Linked DNA regions of Arabidopsis thaliana. The protein of the gene in region 2 interacts with the protein of the main gene of each other region in a pairwise test. Each region holds a gene or a part of one and is shown on either strand. Other genes may lie near its edges.

Region 1 (8,924 bases), on a different chromosome or scaffold from region 2:
CTGTTGTACAGTGCATTTTTCAAGAGTCTAAAATTGATAGATGACTGAAACCTTTACATGTTCTGGACAAACTTTATTTCGACGCAATATCATTGAAACTGTCTCTCATATCTTTAAATTTTCGACGCAATATTATTTCAACCCAATTCACAAGGCAAATAAATCATAGTCTATAGACATCATTGCTTGCTTGTATAATGAGATTTTTCAATCCGAATACGGAATATACAAAAACTCTTCGTAGGCTTTCTTTATCAAAAGTATCAGCACCAATGAGTTTCATTCAAGACAAGGATCATAATGACTAATATTATTGAAAAAGGAAATGCCAAATTTGGGTGGTTATCTAGGGTTGGTGTTGAGGAGACTTCTTGAGATGTAGGGCTTCTTTGAGCTTACGACCTAGAGCAAATGCCAATGGTGGAGGGACTGCATTCCCAATCTGCCTGTGCTTGTGATTTATGTTCCCTGCAAACTCGTAGCTATCCGGAAACCCCTGCAGTTTTCATTAACAACAATTTCGCTTAAAAGGCCATATCGATAAAGCTAACATTACTACTCTATCTCCCAAAACCATTCAGTGCTTTGCAATCTCTAAGTCTGTAACTGATGCTATAGGACTGACTGGGAACAGAAGAGTTTTTCTTACCTGAGATCGGGCGCATTCACGGACTGTAAGGATTCTGTGCTGTTCAGGATGAAAGCACATTCCAACCTTACCCATGGGCTGAGGATCCGTGACGGAAGTCGGAAAGTTTCCTTGCCAATCTAATCTCCCATATAGTCCCTTCCAACCGTTGTGGCGCTCAGCTGTGTTTGGGAGACAAAAAGGAATCATTTCTTCTACGCGCCCATCAGATAACGTAACCTGTGATATTAAAACAAAGCGATTTGGGTTGATTTCTAGTTTCAAAAGCAATTCTTTTGACCGTAGTCAACCTGACAAAGGTATTCCTGAGGTAGGATGTATAAGACTGACCTTTCTCTTTGGCAAGTCATGCCAATCAGCCCCAGGCCTAGTTGGGATTAATTTGCATCGAATGAGGTTAAGCTCATTCATAGCCTTGCAGATATGATCAGTGAGAGCAATCGTGTTTCCTCTTATCTCCTTTTGGAACCACGAGACTGCAACCTCTTTATACTGCAAGAAACAAGAATTTCCCCCACATAAATTAATAAATTAATGGGTTCACGTCATTTGTGTTTAGCAAATATGTATGTATAGATATTTTCTCCAGATGTGTTATCATACCTCTTTGTTTGTCCTAGAGTCTCCGTTTTCTACTGATGGAAGATCACCAATTGTGTCTCTCACGGTGATTGGACGGAAAGGGGCACCAAGTGCAGTACTACGAACAGCAGCATAATGTAAACCTTGAGATAGTGAGATTTTCAACTTTGGAACACCAAAGACATGCATCGGCTCAGGCCATTCAGGGAGAACTTCTTCTGGTGCAGCAGCCCAAATGAAAGCTCGTTTACGAGATTGGGATACTCCATATGCACCGGCCTCCAGGATTCCAAATCTCACCTGGGAAACATCATAGAAACATCATATTTAAGAGATTTAAGTCAATTTTTGTACTTCGCAAACCATTCTTCACAGAGCATGCCAACTTCTACTAAAGAGAAATCAATTTAACAAAAGCGTTAGGACTTTACCTGGTAACCCATTTCGAGAAGGGAAGCCAAAGTAAGCTGAAATGTCTGCCCTTTATTGAATGACACAAAGGTCCTCACGTTCTCCAGAAGAAAATACCTTGGCCGGAAATAGTCAGCAAAGGACAAGAATGCTAATATCATTTCACACTGAACTTTACTCCAAGAGCTTTGGTTGAACCTGTTCATACCAGAAAATCCCTGCCAAATTGCACAGGTTAAGGGCTTTTCACTTATTCAACGAAAAATTTACACAAGTATAGCCACAATCTGAAATATATACCTGACATGGAGGTCCACCATTGATGAAGTCCACTTGACCAGGCAGTGGCAGAGTACTCTTCTGCTCCTCAGTTAGTTTAGCTGCTAATTCATTTGCCTCTGTAGTAGAGACACAATCATCTTGATCTCCACCTTTCTCCATTATAGCCCTGCAATTAATCACAACAACTGATCACAATGCAAAAAATAGCCACACTAAAAGAGTAAGCGATAACTTGTTGGCTATTTACCTAAGAATCACATTGCAGTTGTCAACAAAAACTGTTGACTCAGGATGGTTTTGTTTAAAAGCCTGCCCAGCTGGCTCTTCATACTCAATCGCCCACTTTGCATCAGATACACCTTTTACATATAGCATGAATATTAATACAACTTATTCAAGCATTTTGGAAGATTAAGAGTTGACTGGATATAATACATACCCGCCTTTTTCAGTCCATGAGACAGGCCACCACAACCAGCAAAAATATCTAGAGTAGCCAGACGAATCTCTTTAGGTGGCTCAACAGGCTTGACAATCTCAGACTCAATTTCACTCTCTACTCCCTTTCCCTTTTTCTTTCTTAAAAGTGTGTCGTCCTTAATAGTAGAGAACTTTGGCTTCATATTGGCGGGCAGCTGTTACAAGACAGTATAGAGAAAAAGTTCAACTTTGTATCAGAACAACAATAATCATAACATATAAATCCTAGACACAACTATATGAATTCCTTAAGAAACTAGGTACACAAATAATTGACAAATACGAAGTGAAGAGAGGTATATACCTGCTTGAGAGAACCTTTGGAGGTGTCAAAGAAAAGATCACAGAAGAAAATATGGTCTGATATTGGATATTCACGGGATAAGGGCATATCACTTTTCTTTCTTACTTCACATTTTCCCTCTAGAGCACCTGGAGGGAGAACAACTGTGTCCTGGCTGAAATACAACTTAAGAAATTGCAAAAAGAAAGAAAAAAGATTGTCAGATAAACTTATGAAGAAACCTCACCACTGAACACATTACCAGATATAAAAAATAGTTCTTACTTCTTGGATGTCTGAAGCATAGGCCTTCTCTGCAGAAACATCCTCAGGCCTATAAAACCTTCTCACTTTAACATCAAAGGAACCCAAATCAGCCTTTCTAGATTCCTTTGGAACAATTTCCAGCAATTGGCAAACAACATACGCTCTTAACCCAATGTTTCGCCCAGACTTAAAAGAAGTTTTACTACCCTCCTTCAACCCACCAATAGAGTCAGGGTTGACATAGACAAAATCCTCAACAGAATACTCAATCCCATTGATGAAAAAGCCTGTCTTTGAAACATTTAGTTTAATTGTAGACCTCTTCTCTTCATCCTCCCTTATCTTACATGAAGTGCAGAACCCAGAACTGCGACCAATATCACTTAGTGGAAGACTAAAGAATCCCCCTCTCTCAGGTGAGTACAAGCTTTTGCAGTAATACTCTGTTGGCAAATCTTTTACTTTTCTTTCTAATGCTCTAGCCCAGTCAAGCTTATCCGCAGTGATGTTCTTTTTCCTATACTGATGCCCCCATGGCCTTGATCGAATCTCAAAACTGGCTACTCCTTTAATGTCCTTGAGCTGTGTAGTCATGCATTCATTAGTCAGGAATAGTTCCCTCTCGTTAGCAGCATTCCCCAGAACAGTCATAGATCCTCTTTGTAAGAATCTACCATGTAACATTTTGCAGTGATCTGTACTTTCGAACATGTACTCCACAAAATAGATGGCCGGCATTTCATCTGGATCATCAACTTCCAAGGTGACAGCGCCACCTACAGCCACCATTTCCCCTCCAACAAGGGCTTGTTGATAGAGAGGCTCGCCAGCAGAAGTTTTTCCTAGACTCTCACCATCCCATTTTATTTCCCTTTTTCCAGAACTGCCTCGGATTTTCTTAGGAGTATGAGGCTTCTGAACCTCAACAGGTTCTGGTACAGTGTCCTCTGTGAGACCATTTTCACCTTCCTCTTCAACCTCTTCCTCCCCATTTCCGCCTTCCTCTTCCACCTCATCCTCCCCATTTTCTGCAGCAGTCGCCTGCAATGGATCCTCTGGAGAGTAATTGGAGTAAAACTCTCCCCAAATTCTGTTGACCAGGCGAGTTGTTGTTGCTTGCATAGCTTTCCTCTTCGATGCTACTGGTGCCATGCCTGCCCTTGGATTCAGATTCAGTTCCTTCAGCGAAATTTTCTTCTTCTTGATGATCCATTTTGTGTGGTGCCTATCCTCCAATTTGCTTGCAAGACCAACAACAAATGGACACCTTTTGACATTGTCGTCCGGATAAACTGCAAAAAGCTGTAAAATAATTTGCCCATGGACGACCAAATATCTCTCAACAGCCAAGGGGTCAGAAGAAATGTAAGCTTTATCATTCGCCTGTAACCCAGACAGTCTTTTTGTGACATCTGCAAATGAAAGCCTAGCAACCCTACTTTCCACCCTAAGAAAAGTAAGAATGCTTATCCCAACCCTTGCTGTTTTCAGAACAGGTTTCCACCAAGGGGCATAAAGTTTTGATGGTTTCCCAAGACGGTACCTGTATATACCTTATACATCAGCAACAGAAGAAAAAACAGACGTAGAAACATGCGAGTACAAAATACTAGGATAGTAAGCTTACCAGGCCACATCTGTTCGTATAGAAATGGAGATAATATCATCGCTCCCAAACTCAATCATCCATTCTTTAATTTGACTGAGGAATATGCACATCCCATCAGGATCGTGTGACTGAGAACCGCTGTCAGGATCGTTTAAAGAAATCCAACTTCCATTATCATCAGTCACCACACCTGACCCAAAAATGTTGACATCAATATCATCACATTGTTTCATCGGTAGAAGTTCCAGTGATATGAATCGTAAATCAGAGTTATAAAGAGCCCAGTTGTGAAGCATCCTGTGAGGCAGGTGTTCAGATTGAACCTCATAGGAAGCATCATAAAGTATAAGTTCATCTGTTTCTTCTTCGGAGGTCTTATAGTACGATGGGAGAGGATAATCATTGGCAATCTCATCTTCATTTATCTTAATGTAGAACATATTTGAAGCAGAACCTGAGCTGCTGTTTTTTCTGGGCTGTTGCATAGATTTCCTATTCTCTTCGTCTTGTAAGAGTATAGCATATCTTCTGTCATCATCAGTACCATCAACCAGTTGATCAGATGTCAAGGCCTCGCTCTCCGCAACTTGAGAAACTTCTTTAATCCTCACACCATTAGATGGGTTTCTTTCCCTCTGCAGAGGCTTGTCAATCTTACTACTCTTCTCTCTGAGAGCTACAAGAACAGGAATCTCAACATAGCTTGATTCATGTTTCTTGGCTGTCTCATCCAAACCAGCGAGTTGGTTATATATAAAATCTCCCTGGGATATAACAAAATCGATGATTGCCGCACCACTAGAAAAGTACTTGCTTCCACTGCTCATTGATCTGACAACCGCCGCAAGTAACTCCTCAAGACCTATATCAGGATCCCCACCAGATGACTTGGACAATTTCTTATACACAGCCACTGAAGCACGAGCTTTCTCATAGAAGTAATCATAAACCTTCCTGTAGCTAGCAGCAGGTTTACGACAATCATAATCCGCCAATTCCGTTGAGATCCAAATAACAGGGGAACCATCTTCATAACCAGAGATACTCCAATGCTCAACCCGTCCAAACGATGTACACCTCACACCCTTCTCTTTCTCCTTATCAGTACACACATCTGAAGGTAAGATAGCACCTGAAACGAATATGTCATGAATCTCCAACATCTCCAGAGGTTGTGGAACTCCATCTGAATCAAACAAAACAAAATCATTCAGTCTCCTGGTTGGACGATCTTCAACATCAGTTTCCAGAGCCGTTAACCGTAACGCGAGAAACTCTTCCTCCACAATCTGCTGTTTCTTTACTTCAATAGTAGCAGATTTCTCACAGACTCGAATAGATTTCTCCTTGAAACTGGTACACGCTGCAGCACGCCTTGGTCTCCTCGTCCTAGGTACATCTTCTACCTCTTGAATCTCTGGAAGTGGTCTCTTCTTTCGCTTCGCAGCTTTAGCCCCATTTTCCACCATTTTCAAAATCCCTAGTTTCAAAATCAAAATTACCAACAAAATCATCACTATAACGCAATTGGACTATAAAATTTTCACACAAATCTATGTAATCGAAGCGTTCACTACATCGCATTGACTAAACCGACGCAAATAATAACAAAGCCCAGGAAAATTTCCGAGTCTAGGGTTTAACAATCACTGTAGTTAGACTGAAATCGACACAGATTATAGAGAAAAACTTACGTTGAGAAGCGAAATCTACTGGAAGATTGCGAAACCCTAATTGGTCTGAGAGATAGAGAGGTTGAAGAAAGCAGTGATGTGTGATTTGAGAGGAAGAGTGGGAGAGAGAGAGAGGGGGTAATAATAAAAGGAGACGAGACGAGGAGCGAAAACGACGCGCGGCAATAAACGGCGCTAAAAACTTTTTTAAAATGAAAACGAAATAAGAAAAAAAGCCGCGCCTGAATATTTAGGGCTACCATAAATGGCTTTTTATGATTCAATGATTTTATCTTTTGGGGAATATTCCGTATAAATAATCCTAATTTTAAGATTTTTACAGATTTGTTTCTATCTCTAATGTTTATATTCTAATATCTTTCCATCAGTCAACAGTCAAAGTATACGAGTATTATTTTGATTAAGATTTTTATTTGACTACAAAGTATAGATATTTTTTTGATAGAAAAAAGTCTGATTTTTAGACGAAATGTTGAGGGTTAACAACTTAACAATGAGATCCTCCAATAATACTTTTATGTGTGTGTTTTTTCTTATAACAAGAACAATATTTTTATTTTCAAAACTAATACTTTATCATGAAGTGTTTATCAAATGGATAATTTTAATATATATACGAAAAATCTCAAATTGGTAGGATGCCGCTATTTTAGTTAGCTCGTTAGGTTTATGATTTATAACAATATTTTTTCTTTCGAGAACTAACATTTTACCATGATCCTACTATATTATTTGGGAAGTACATTTTAAATGTAACCTTACTTTTTGTAAGTAATTACATATGTATGCCATTAGAAATAAAATTTAAAGAGTAAAGTAATTCATCTCTTTAAAAATTAAAAAGTCAAATACTAATTTAATTAATTAAATTTCATTAAAAAATGAAATACATTATTAATTTCCAAAAAATTAACCAATTAAAATCAACAAATTAGATTTAATATCTAAATTATCATATTAATTTTTTATTAATTATTATAGTTCACCTCTCATCTTTATATGATTCTATTTTTGCGAAAAAATAATATCATCGTTATAAAAAAATAATTAGAGTTTTTTCGCATATGCCATAATTTAAACTTTTAAAAACGAATATAAACTGTTCAATACATAAAAAAATATTATAACGGGTCAAAAATAGATTTAAAAAAATTTATTACTAAGTACTGGGTCATAATTTAAATATTTATATTCAATTTCATGCATATTATTTTAAGAATTTATAATCTTATATACAACAATAATTAATAACATATTAGATTTTTTTATGTGTATGATGTGATTCAATTTTTAATACAAGCTGGAAAATCCTAGAATTGACGGGTTTAAATCGATATTAATATAAGATGGTATACTACAGGTGAAACTCTAAAATTAACAATCAAAATACAAGTGTATAATTTTAAACACTAAACAATATAAATAATATCAAGAAAACATATACAACTCGCAGTTTACTATATATTTAAAATCAAATAAAATAATATCATATAATTAATATTTTGGATATTAAATTAATGTTTGGGTTTTTGAATACTCTTTTTAGATAACGGGTAATTTCCGGTCCAATCGGATATCCACGGGTTTACTAAAACTCTACCCAATAAGGAAATTTCCTAAAATTTTAACCCGCCCTAACCCGATTTTTTGGTTCGAGTATTGGGTTGGTTATCGGGTCCGTTTTTTCGTCAGCCCTATTAAAGATAATCTAATATAGGCCCCAATTAGGTCCACAAATATAACCAAAATACTATACAAAAACTAATTCTAAATTAGGCCAAAAATTAGATCCTCTAATACAAAGGAAACATGTTTCTTACCAAAATAACTTCTATACAAATTTTACACATTTACTTAAAACTACATATGTTGTATTTATTATAACAATAACATTTTTAAACAAAGTCAATCTAATGCAGCATTATATGTAAATAGTAAAACATTGAAAAATATTATGGCATCACTTTTATACTATACTATTTTTTATGTAATTCAAACAAAGTATACAATTTAATTTATACAAAATATTAATGCTCGTGCTGTATAGCACGGGTTATGATCTAGTAAATCTATTAAATGAATAATCATATGAGTTAATCAGATTTATATACATTGAAAACCTCAAATTAATATACTTATTTATCTTTCAATTTTGAGCATAGTTTGTGGGGATTTTTTTTTTTTCGCAAACTTATTTAGTTCCTTCTTATATCTTTTAATGGCATTATTAATAGAAACACAGATGACAACAACAACAAAATTCGATAATGCACGATCTACAGAGTAAAAGTTTCTATCAAGACATTAGGAAGCTCGTACAATATAAAAATTCACTACACAAAAGTCAATTTGGCCAGATTCGATTGCTCTTTATACAATCTTGTAACGTAGAGATCACCACGCTCCATCTCCACAGTCTCGGGGATCTCTCCGATCCTCTGCCAAAATAAGTAAAGGCAAACCCAAACTTAGTTTACAGAAAGGTTGTGTATATATGTGTATGGAGGGAATAAGAGAATTCTCACTCTTCGTATAGATTGAGGGAGAAAAAGTTTACCATTATAGTCATCACTAACAAAAACAACTCTAGCTACTGTGAATGGATTTTTCAACTATAATAACAAACAAGCTTAACCAACTTAGATGATGGTTCAAAGTGATTAGGTT
Region 2 (7,856 bases):
GTCAAACACTAGATATGTTGGGAACGTTGGATCCATTATTTTTAAAAATCAAATTTTTTCATATCTATTATTTGTTTCAAAGAAAAAAAAAACACACGACGATTATCCATCTGCCGGCTGTGTTCATCGGTAAACCTATATTTTAAAACTGGTGGGCTTTTCATTACCATAAGTTTGGACATGTTTTTATAATTTGATGTATAGTGTAGACCAAAAAATAGAGAAATAAGAAAGGGAACCTTTGTGGTGATTGTAACAAAACAGAAATCATTATATTGAATCATTCGAAAAGACGAAAAGATCAAACCTTTGTAGCTAGATGACCATAGACGTGGCTGCCAATTACAGTCTTAATGCTTTTATATAGATCTTTCTTACATCCTCTGTTCCTTCACATTCAAGAAACAGTATCATCCCATTTTCTTTCTTCTTCTCAGTGTTTCAATCTTTGCGAATTAAGATGGAACATGAAGAAACACAAAAGAACACAAGAAACAGCTGGTCCCTGATTCGACCATTTCAAATGATCTCCATTAGCTTTCTTAGCCTCCTCCTCCCTCTATCTTTCCTCTTTCTTTCACGTCTCTCTCTCTATACCTCCTCAACTCCGGTCACCGTCTCCGGCGTTTCCTCTGTTATTCACCAGGCAGATGTCGGAGTCTTATACACGATCTTGTTTCTCATCATCGTCTTCACTTTAATCCACAGTCTCTCAGGAAAACCAGAATGCTCTGTTCTCCATTCCCATCTCTACATCTGCTGGATCGTTCTCTTCATCGCCCAAGCTTGTGCCTTTGGGATCAAAAGAACCATGAGCACGACCATGTCTATAAATCCAGACAAAAACTTGTTTCTTGCGACACATGAAAGATGGATGTTGGTTAGGGTTTTGTTCTTTTTGGGGCTACACGAAGTGATGCTGATGTGGTTTAGAGTCGTGGTTAAGCCTGTGGTTGACAACACTATATATGGGGTCTACGTGGAGGAGAGGTGGTCCGAGAGAGCCGTTGTGGCAGTGACCTTTGGTATAATGTGGTGGTGGAGGCTAAGAGATGAGGTAGAAAGTCTTGTGGTGGTGGTTACGGCGGATAGACTTAACCTCCCCATTCGTTTGGAGGGTCTCAATTTTGTGAACTGGTGTATGTATTACATCTGTGTTGGAATTGGTTTAATGAAGATCTTCAAAGGGTTTTTGGATTTTGTGAATACGTTGACTTTGAGCATTAAGAGGTCGAGAAAAGGCTGTGAATCATGTGTTTTTGATGATATGTGTAATGATGATCATGTGTAAGATATTTGACATATTATACTCATCTCTTGAATGTTTTTGAGATTTTTTTATTTTTATTTTCTATTTCTTGCTAGGAATTTAACCCGTATATATGTCACAAAAATAGTAGAATATCAGAAAGCAAAAATATTTTATCTAAAAATAACCATTGAACATTAATTTAAGTCTTTTTATAATTATATTTTTATAACACACCCTTTTTAAGAAAAACTTGGAGATTTAATTAACGTTATAAATAGTAAAAAATATCGGATTTACGTAGAAGTTTTAAATGCGTATAATTAAATTTACGAATTGAATAATATAGCCATATATATATTTTTGAAGATTTAAACTCATTTTGTTTCTTCCATATATGCATAATATATAAGCTTAAATAGAAAACTAGCTAGGAATGAATACTAATATATATAATGACATTAATATAAGTCTTACCGGACACTCCAAAATGTATATATTGATCTATCAACATTTTTTCATTGGTTTACTAAACCAAGTTGTCACATAAATATGAGTTAACGCCTTTTTTTTTATAATATTGTATATGAATTTAAACTTGAGCTGTCAAACGTCAAGCAAACCCAACATCTACATACATATAGTACTATATTTTGAAAATTAAAATTTTCTTAAATTTCCCATATTATTTTCCTTTTAAAGCAAGCAAGTCCAAATACGTTTCTTCCAGATTATAATTTTCCTTAATAAGGTTTTCTACAAAAAAAAATCAACTTCTTATTTAAAAAACCCTTTGCATTATCCTTTTCACCAACATCAGAGAAGACGAGAAAAAAAGAAGAGGCGAGTGGTTAATGGAGAAGGTTAGTTTCACTCCAAACATATATGAATTGACTAGGTTATGAAATCCATATATTTTAATTGTGTGTTTATGATAGATCAATAACATTTAGGGTTGAATTTTCTTGTGATCTATTATGTTATTCGTCCCATGCATGATCCATAAAACTTTTATTTTTGAATTTGTCTAGGAAAACCATGAGGACGATGGTGAGGGTTTGCCACCCGAACTAAATCAGATAAAAGAGCAAATCGAAAAGGAGAGATTTCTGCATATCAAGGTAAGAGACATTTGGTTGCTTTAATATTTTATTCTCTTCTGTATGTTTTTCTGAAAATTAAGGAGAGGAGAGGACTTAATCTCATAACTATACGATTCCAAAGAGATGTTAAGATACATCTAATAAACAGTTATACATTAGTCATAATCTTTAAAACTAAAAAGAGAAATTTCCAAACTTTTAAATTAAAAACAGAATTTAGAAAATGCCAGCGAATCGATAACGACATCCAGATCTGTCGGGTATCCAAAACTTAGAATAAAAAAATAATTAATATATTTATAATATAAAGCTGGAACTTAGGTTATAAAATAAAATTGAAAATAATAGTAGATTTTTTTGTTTTTGTCAAACAAAATAGTAATACAATTTGTTTTTTTTAGTACAAAGAAACTAAATAGGTCCAAATTGTTTTTTTTTTAACATTCAGCCAAAAAAGCCAAGATTGATGCATATATCAAGAAATCGAAATCAAAACTTTTGTATTCAAGTATTCTAGTTTCACTATATATAGAGTCCAGTTTCTGAAATTTAAAAAATCATTTACCTATATATTACTTGATTAACAGAGAAAATTCGAGCTGAGATACATTCCAAGTGTGGCTACTCATGCTTCACACCATCAATCGTTTGACTTAAACCAGCCCGCTGCAGAGGATGATAATGGAGGAGACAACAAATCACTTTTGTCGAGAATGCAAAACCCACTTCGTCATTTCAGTGCCTCATCTGATTATAATTCTTACGAAGATCAAGGTTATGTTCTTGATGAGGATCAAGATTATGCTCTTGAAGAAGATGTACCATTATTTCTTGATGAAGATGTACCATTATTACCAAGTGTCAAGCTTCCAATTGTTGAGAAGCTACCACGATCCATTACATGGGTCTTCACCAAAAGGCATGTGTGTTTTTTGTTTCGTACTAGTTTCAAAATATTAATCATATACTATATAGTAATCACTCATAGTGCATATATACATTTCTTTAACATTGCAGTAGCCAGCTGATGGCTGAAAGTGATTCTGTGATTGGTAAGAGACAAATCTATTATTTGAATGGTGAGGCACTAGAATTGAGCAGTGAAGAAGATGAGGAAGATGAAGAAGAAGATGAGGAAGAAATCAAGAAAGAAAAATGCGAATTTTCTGAAGATGTAGACCGATTTATATGGTTAGTTTTTGCATTACATATGTTCTTGATTATTAATTTGTAGTCCATATTTAATAAACTGCTCAAGAAATTTTCAGGACGGTTGGGCAGGACTATGGTTTGGATGATCTGGTCGTGCGGCGTGCTCTCGCCAAGTACCTCGAAGTGGATGTTTCGGACATATTGGTAACAATATTCGAATAAAAACTTCATACGTCGATCAATAACTTTCCTGCTTATTTAATTTTTGTTGTTTTTCGTCGTGAGAAATGTTTTAAATTTTCAAATCTAATGTAGGAAAGATACAATGAACTCAAGCTTAAGAATGATGGAACTGCTGGTGAGGCTTCTGATTTGACATCCAAGACAATAACTACTGCTTTCCAGGATTTTGCTGATAGACGTCATTGCCGTCGTTGCATGGTAACTTTGAATCTTTCTTTTTTAATTTAGCCACAAAAAAGGGAGATGATCATACATGTTTTTATTTTATTTTATCATTTGTTTTACAGATATTCGATTGTCATATGCATGAGAAGTATGAGCCCGAGTCTAGATCCGTAAGCATTAAATTCATTTAAATTATTTTGTTAGTTTCACAACCCTTATATATAAGGTTAAGTGATTAACTTAATTAGATTGCTTTGGCTTGTCAGAGCGAAGACAAATCTAGTTTGTTTGAGGATGAAGATAGACAACCATGCAGTGAGCATTGTTACCTCAAGGTCTCTATCTCTCTCCCTCTCTCTCTCAATTTTTTTGTCTATTCCTTAATTACGTTTATTAGTTACTGGTTTAATATTAAATAGGTGAGGAGTGTGACAGAAGCTGATCATGTGATGGATAATGATAACTCTATATCAAACAAGATTGTGGTCTCAGATCCAAACAACACTATGTGGACGCCTGTAGAGAAGGATCTTTACTTGAAAGGAATTGAGATATTTGGGAGAAACAGGTAAAAAAATAAAAATAGATTTAATGCATTAATATATATACTTACACTGTATTCCTTGATTATGCTGGTTCGCAGTTGTGATGTTGCATTAAACATACTTCGGGGGCTTAAGACGTGCCTAGAGATTTACAATTACATGCGCGAACAAGATCAATGTACTATGTCATTAGACCTTAACAAAACTACACAAAGACACAATCAGGTACACTAACCTATGTCGTAATTATTCTCATGACATGTATGTTAAAAACACATGAAGTTTCCTATATGTGTTGATGGTTTTATCACAGGTTACCAAAAAAGTATCTCGAAAAAGTAGTAGGTCGGTCCGCAAAAAATCGAGACTCCGAAAATATGCTCGTTATCCGCCTGCTTTAAAGAAAACAACTAGTGGAGAAGCTAAGTTTTATAAGCACTACACACCATGCACTTGCAAGTCAAAATGTGGACAGCAATGCCCTTGTTTAACTCACGAAAATTGCTGCGAGAAATATTGCGGGTATGTCATTCAATTTTTCCTAAGCCGGAAGATCCATGAGATTTAATTTGAACATGAGTTTGTATTTTTTGTTCAGGTGCTCAAAGGATTGCAACAATCGCTTTGGAGGATGTAATTGTGCAATTGGCCAATGCACAAATCGACAATGTCCTTGTTTTGCTGCTAATCGTGAATGCGATCCAGATCTTTGTCGGAGTTGTCCTCTTAGGTAACACTTTCACTTCAATATCTCTTTATACAAATTCTATAATCAAAGTAATTCAAACCAAAAGTCTTATAAAAAAAACTTTATATATAGCTGTGGAGATGGCACTCTTGGTGAGACACCAGTGCAAATCCAATGCAAGAACATGCAATTCCTCCTTCAAACCAATAAAAAGGTAATCAACGTCAAATCCGTACCGAAAATTTAAAACTAATTATACGAAAGACATTTAACTATCATTTCCCGTATTTTACTAGATTCTCATTGGAAAGTCTGATGTTCATGGATGGGGTGCATTTACATGGGTAAGCAATCATGTAAATATAAGAATAAGTTTAATAGTTATTGGTGCATTCATAACACTTTTTTTTTTTTAATAATGTTTTATACTTTAGACCATTAAATATATTGTGTGATATGGTTTGACCCGTCAGGACTCTCTTAAAAAGAATGAGTATCTCGGAGAATATACTGGAGAACTGATCACTCATGATGAAGCTAATGAGCGTGGGAGAATAGAAGATCGGATTGGTTCTTCCTACCTCTTTACCTTGAATGATCAGGTAACTTCAGAATAATTTTGAAGTAACGTTTTAATCATTCGCGGGTTACACATCTATTCGAATCAAAGTAACATTTATTTTACAGCTCGAAATCGATGCTCGCCGTAAAGGAAACGAGTTCAAATTTCTCAATCACTCAGCAAGACCTAACTGCTACGCCAAGGTACTAAGCCGTTATACTTTATCTTGAACAAATACTAACATTATACAAACAAAAATACTTATGTTAGTTTCTTTAGTTAAATCGTGTATCAACTTTACTCGTCGTTGATTGGTTTTCATATTGAAGATATTCCAAGAAACTCAAACTCATTTTAAATGATTTTTTCTTGTCGAGAAAATTTAGGTTACGAAAATTTATGGTTTCGTGTGCAGTTGATGATTGTGAGAGGAGATCAGAGGATTGGTCTATTTGCGGAGAGAGCAATCGAAGAAGGTGAGGAGCTTTTCTTCGACTACTGCTATGGACCAGAACATGCGGATTGGTCGCGTGGTCGAGAACCTAGAAAGACTGGTGCTTCTAAAAGGTCTAAGGAAGCCCGTCCAGCTCGTTAGTTTTTGATCTGAGGAGAAGCAGCAATTCAAGCAGTCCTTTTTTTATGTTATGGTATATCAATTAATAATGTAATGCTATTTTGTGTTACTAAACCAAAACTTAAGTTTCTGTTTTATTTGTTTTAGGGTGTTTTGTTTGTATCATATGTGTCTTAACTTTCAAAGTTTTCTTTTTGTATTTCAATTTAAAAACAATGTTTATGTTGTTAGTTTGCATAGACCTTTGGAAAAAAAAAGCTTTGCACAACTTTACATTTATTTAGTCTTCATTTAGCGAAAAATCACATAACACAAGTCTGTGGTACGTAATGTACAAAAATGTCAAAATAATGGGTTTTATCATTAAAAAAAAATATTGGTTATGAATGAAGTATAGTTAGAATTTTAGGTATTAGCTCGTTTGGTTTTAAAACGTTTTTCGAGATTTAATTTTGTAGTCTATTGAGTAATACATGGAAGAATCATCAACAAAGTGGCTGTAGCTTACGAAAGGTTTTACTTTAATGTAAATATGTATTTGATGCATCTAACATTTAGTATCTAAACAAATAAAAACAAAAAAAAAGAAAAAAGCTCTTTAAAATCCGAAAGTAACTATTTTCAAAAAATCTAAATTATAAACTTAAATGTTTGGAATCGCGAACGACTATTGCTAAATATAAATGCTAAATATACATGAAGATGTGAAAAACATGTTGGATTTGTGGAATCGTTAATGACCACGGTTAAATGGCGGGATCCAAAATCCGGTTAGATTTCACAATGTCATATTACGTCATATTAATTTAGTATTTATAAAAAAAACCTTTTAAAAAAAATGAGTTGAAAATCTTTTAAGAAAATAAAAAATAAAATAAATGCTAAATATACATGAAGATGTGAAAAACATGTTGGATTTGTGGAATCGTTAATGACCACGGTTAAATGGCGGGATCCAAAATCTGGTTAGATTTCACAACGCCATATTAATTTAGTATTTATAAAAAAACTTTTTTAAAAAAATGAGTTAAAATCTTTTAAAAAAATAAAATAAAAAATAAATGCTAAATATACATGAAGATGTGAAAACATGTTGGATTTGTAGAATCGCTAATGACCACGGTTAAATGGCGGGATCCAAAATCTGGTTAGATTTCACAATGTCATATTAATTTAATATTTATAAAAAAACTTTTTTTAAAAATGAGTTGAAAATCTTTTAAGAAAATAAAATAAAAAATAAATGCTAAATGTATGAAGATGTGAAAAACATGTTGGATTTGTGGAATCGCTAATGACCACGGTTAAATGGCGGGATCCAAAATCTGGTTAGATTTCACAACGCCATATTAATTTAGTATTTATAAAAAAACTTTTTTAAAAAAATGAGTTAAAATCTTTTAAAAAAATAAAATAAAAAATAAATGCTAAATATACATGAAGATGTGAAAAACATGTTGGATTTGTGGAATCGCTAATGACCACGGTTAAATGGCGGGATCCAAAATCTGGTTAGATTTCACAATGTCATATTAATTTAATATTTATAAAAAAGCTTTTTTAAAAAAATGAGTT

Evidence for each region.
Region 1: the proteins of MEA (region 2) and MET1 interact in a two-hybrid assay, tested with the Arabidopsis thaliana proteins (one study listed by BioGRID).

The regions. Positions count from the first base shown.
Region 1 is NC_003076.8:19,929,609-19,938,532, reverse strand, and holds MET1 (methyltransferase 1), read right to left. Parts: upstream 6,420-8,924; 5' UTR 6,258-6,419; intron 6,044-6,257; 5' UTR 6,033-6,043; coding exon 4,582-6,032; intron 4,498-4,581; coding exon 2,973-4,497; intron 2,874-2,972; coding exon 2,709-2,873; intron 2,560-2,708; coding exon 2,364-2,559; intron 2,284-2,363; coding exon 2,172-2,283; intron 2,091-2,171; coding exon 1,943-2,090; intron 1,861-1,942; coding exon 1,663-1,860; intron 1,532-1,662; coding exon 1,253-1,531; intron 1,142-1,252; coding exon 980-1,141; intron 869-979; coding exon 650-868; intron 497-649; coding exon 347-496; 3' UTR 63-346; downstream 1-62.
Region 2 is NC_003070.9:542,693-550,548, forward strand, and holds MEA (SET domain-containing protein), read left to right. Parts: upstream 1-2,040; 5' UTR 2,041-2,103; coding exon 2,104-2,112; intron 2,113-2,280; coding exon 2,281-2,370; intron 2,371-2,939; coding exon 2,940-3,271; intron 3,272-3,369; coding exon 3,370-3,543; intron 3,544-3,620; coding exon 3,621-3,708; intron 3,709-3,819; coding exon 3,820-3,945; intron 3,946-4,034; coding exon 4,035-4,082; intron 4,083-4,178; coding exon 4,179-4,247; intron 4,248-4,331; coding exon 4,332-4,480; intron 4,481-4,555; coding exon 4,556-4,682; intron 4,683-4,770; coding exon 4,771-4,979; intron 4,980-5,055; coding exon 5,056-5,187; intron 5,188-5,277; coding exon 5,278-5,359; intron 5,360-5,441; coding exon 5,442-5,489; coding exon of another isoform or gene 5,490-5,561; exon of another isoform or gene 5,562-5,562; intron 5,563-5,618; coding exon 5,619-5,747; intron 5,748-5,832; coding exon 5,833-5,910; intron 5,911-6,122; coding exon 6,123-6,302; 3' UTR 6,303-6,510; downstream 6,511-7,856. Other genes in the region: AT1G02575 (uncharacterized protein), read left to right, coding at 461-1,291. UniProt on the Arabidopsis thaliana protein: Polycomb group (PcG) protein. Catalytic subunit of some PcG multiprotein complex, which methylates 'Lys-27' of histone H3, leading to transcriptional repression of the affected target genes.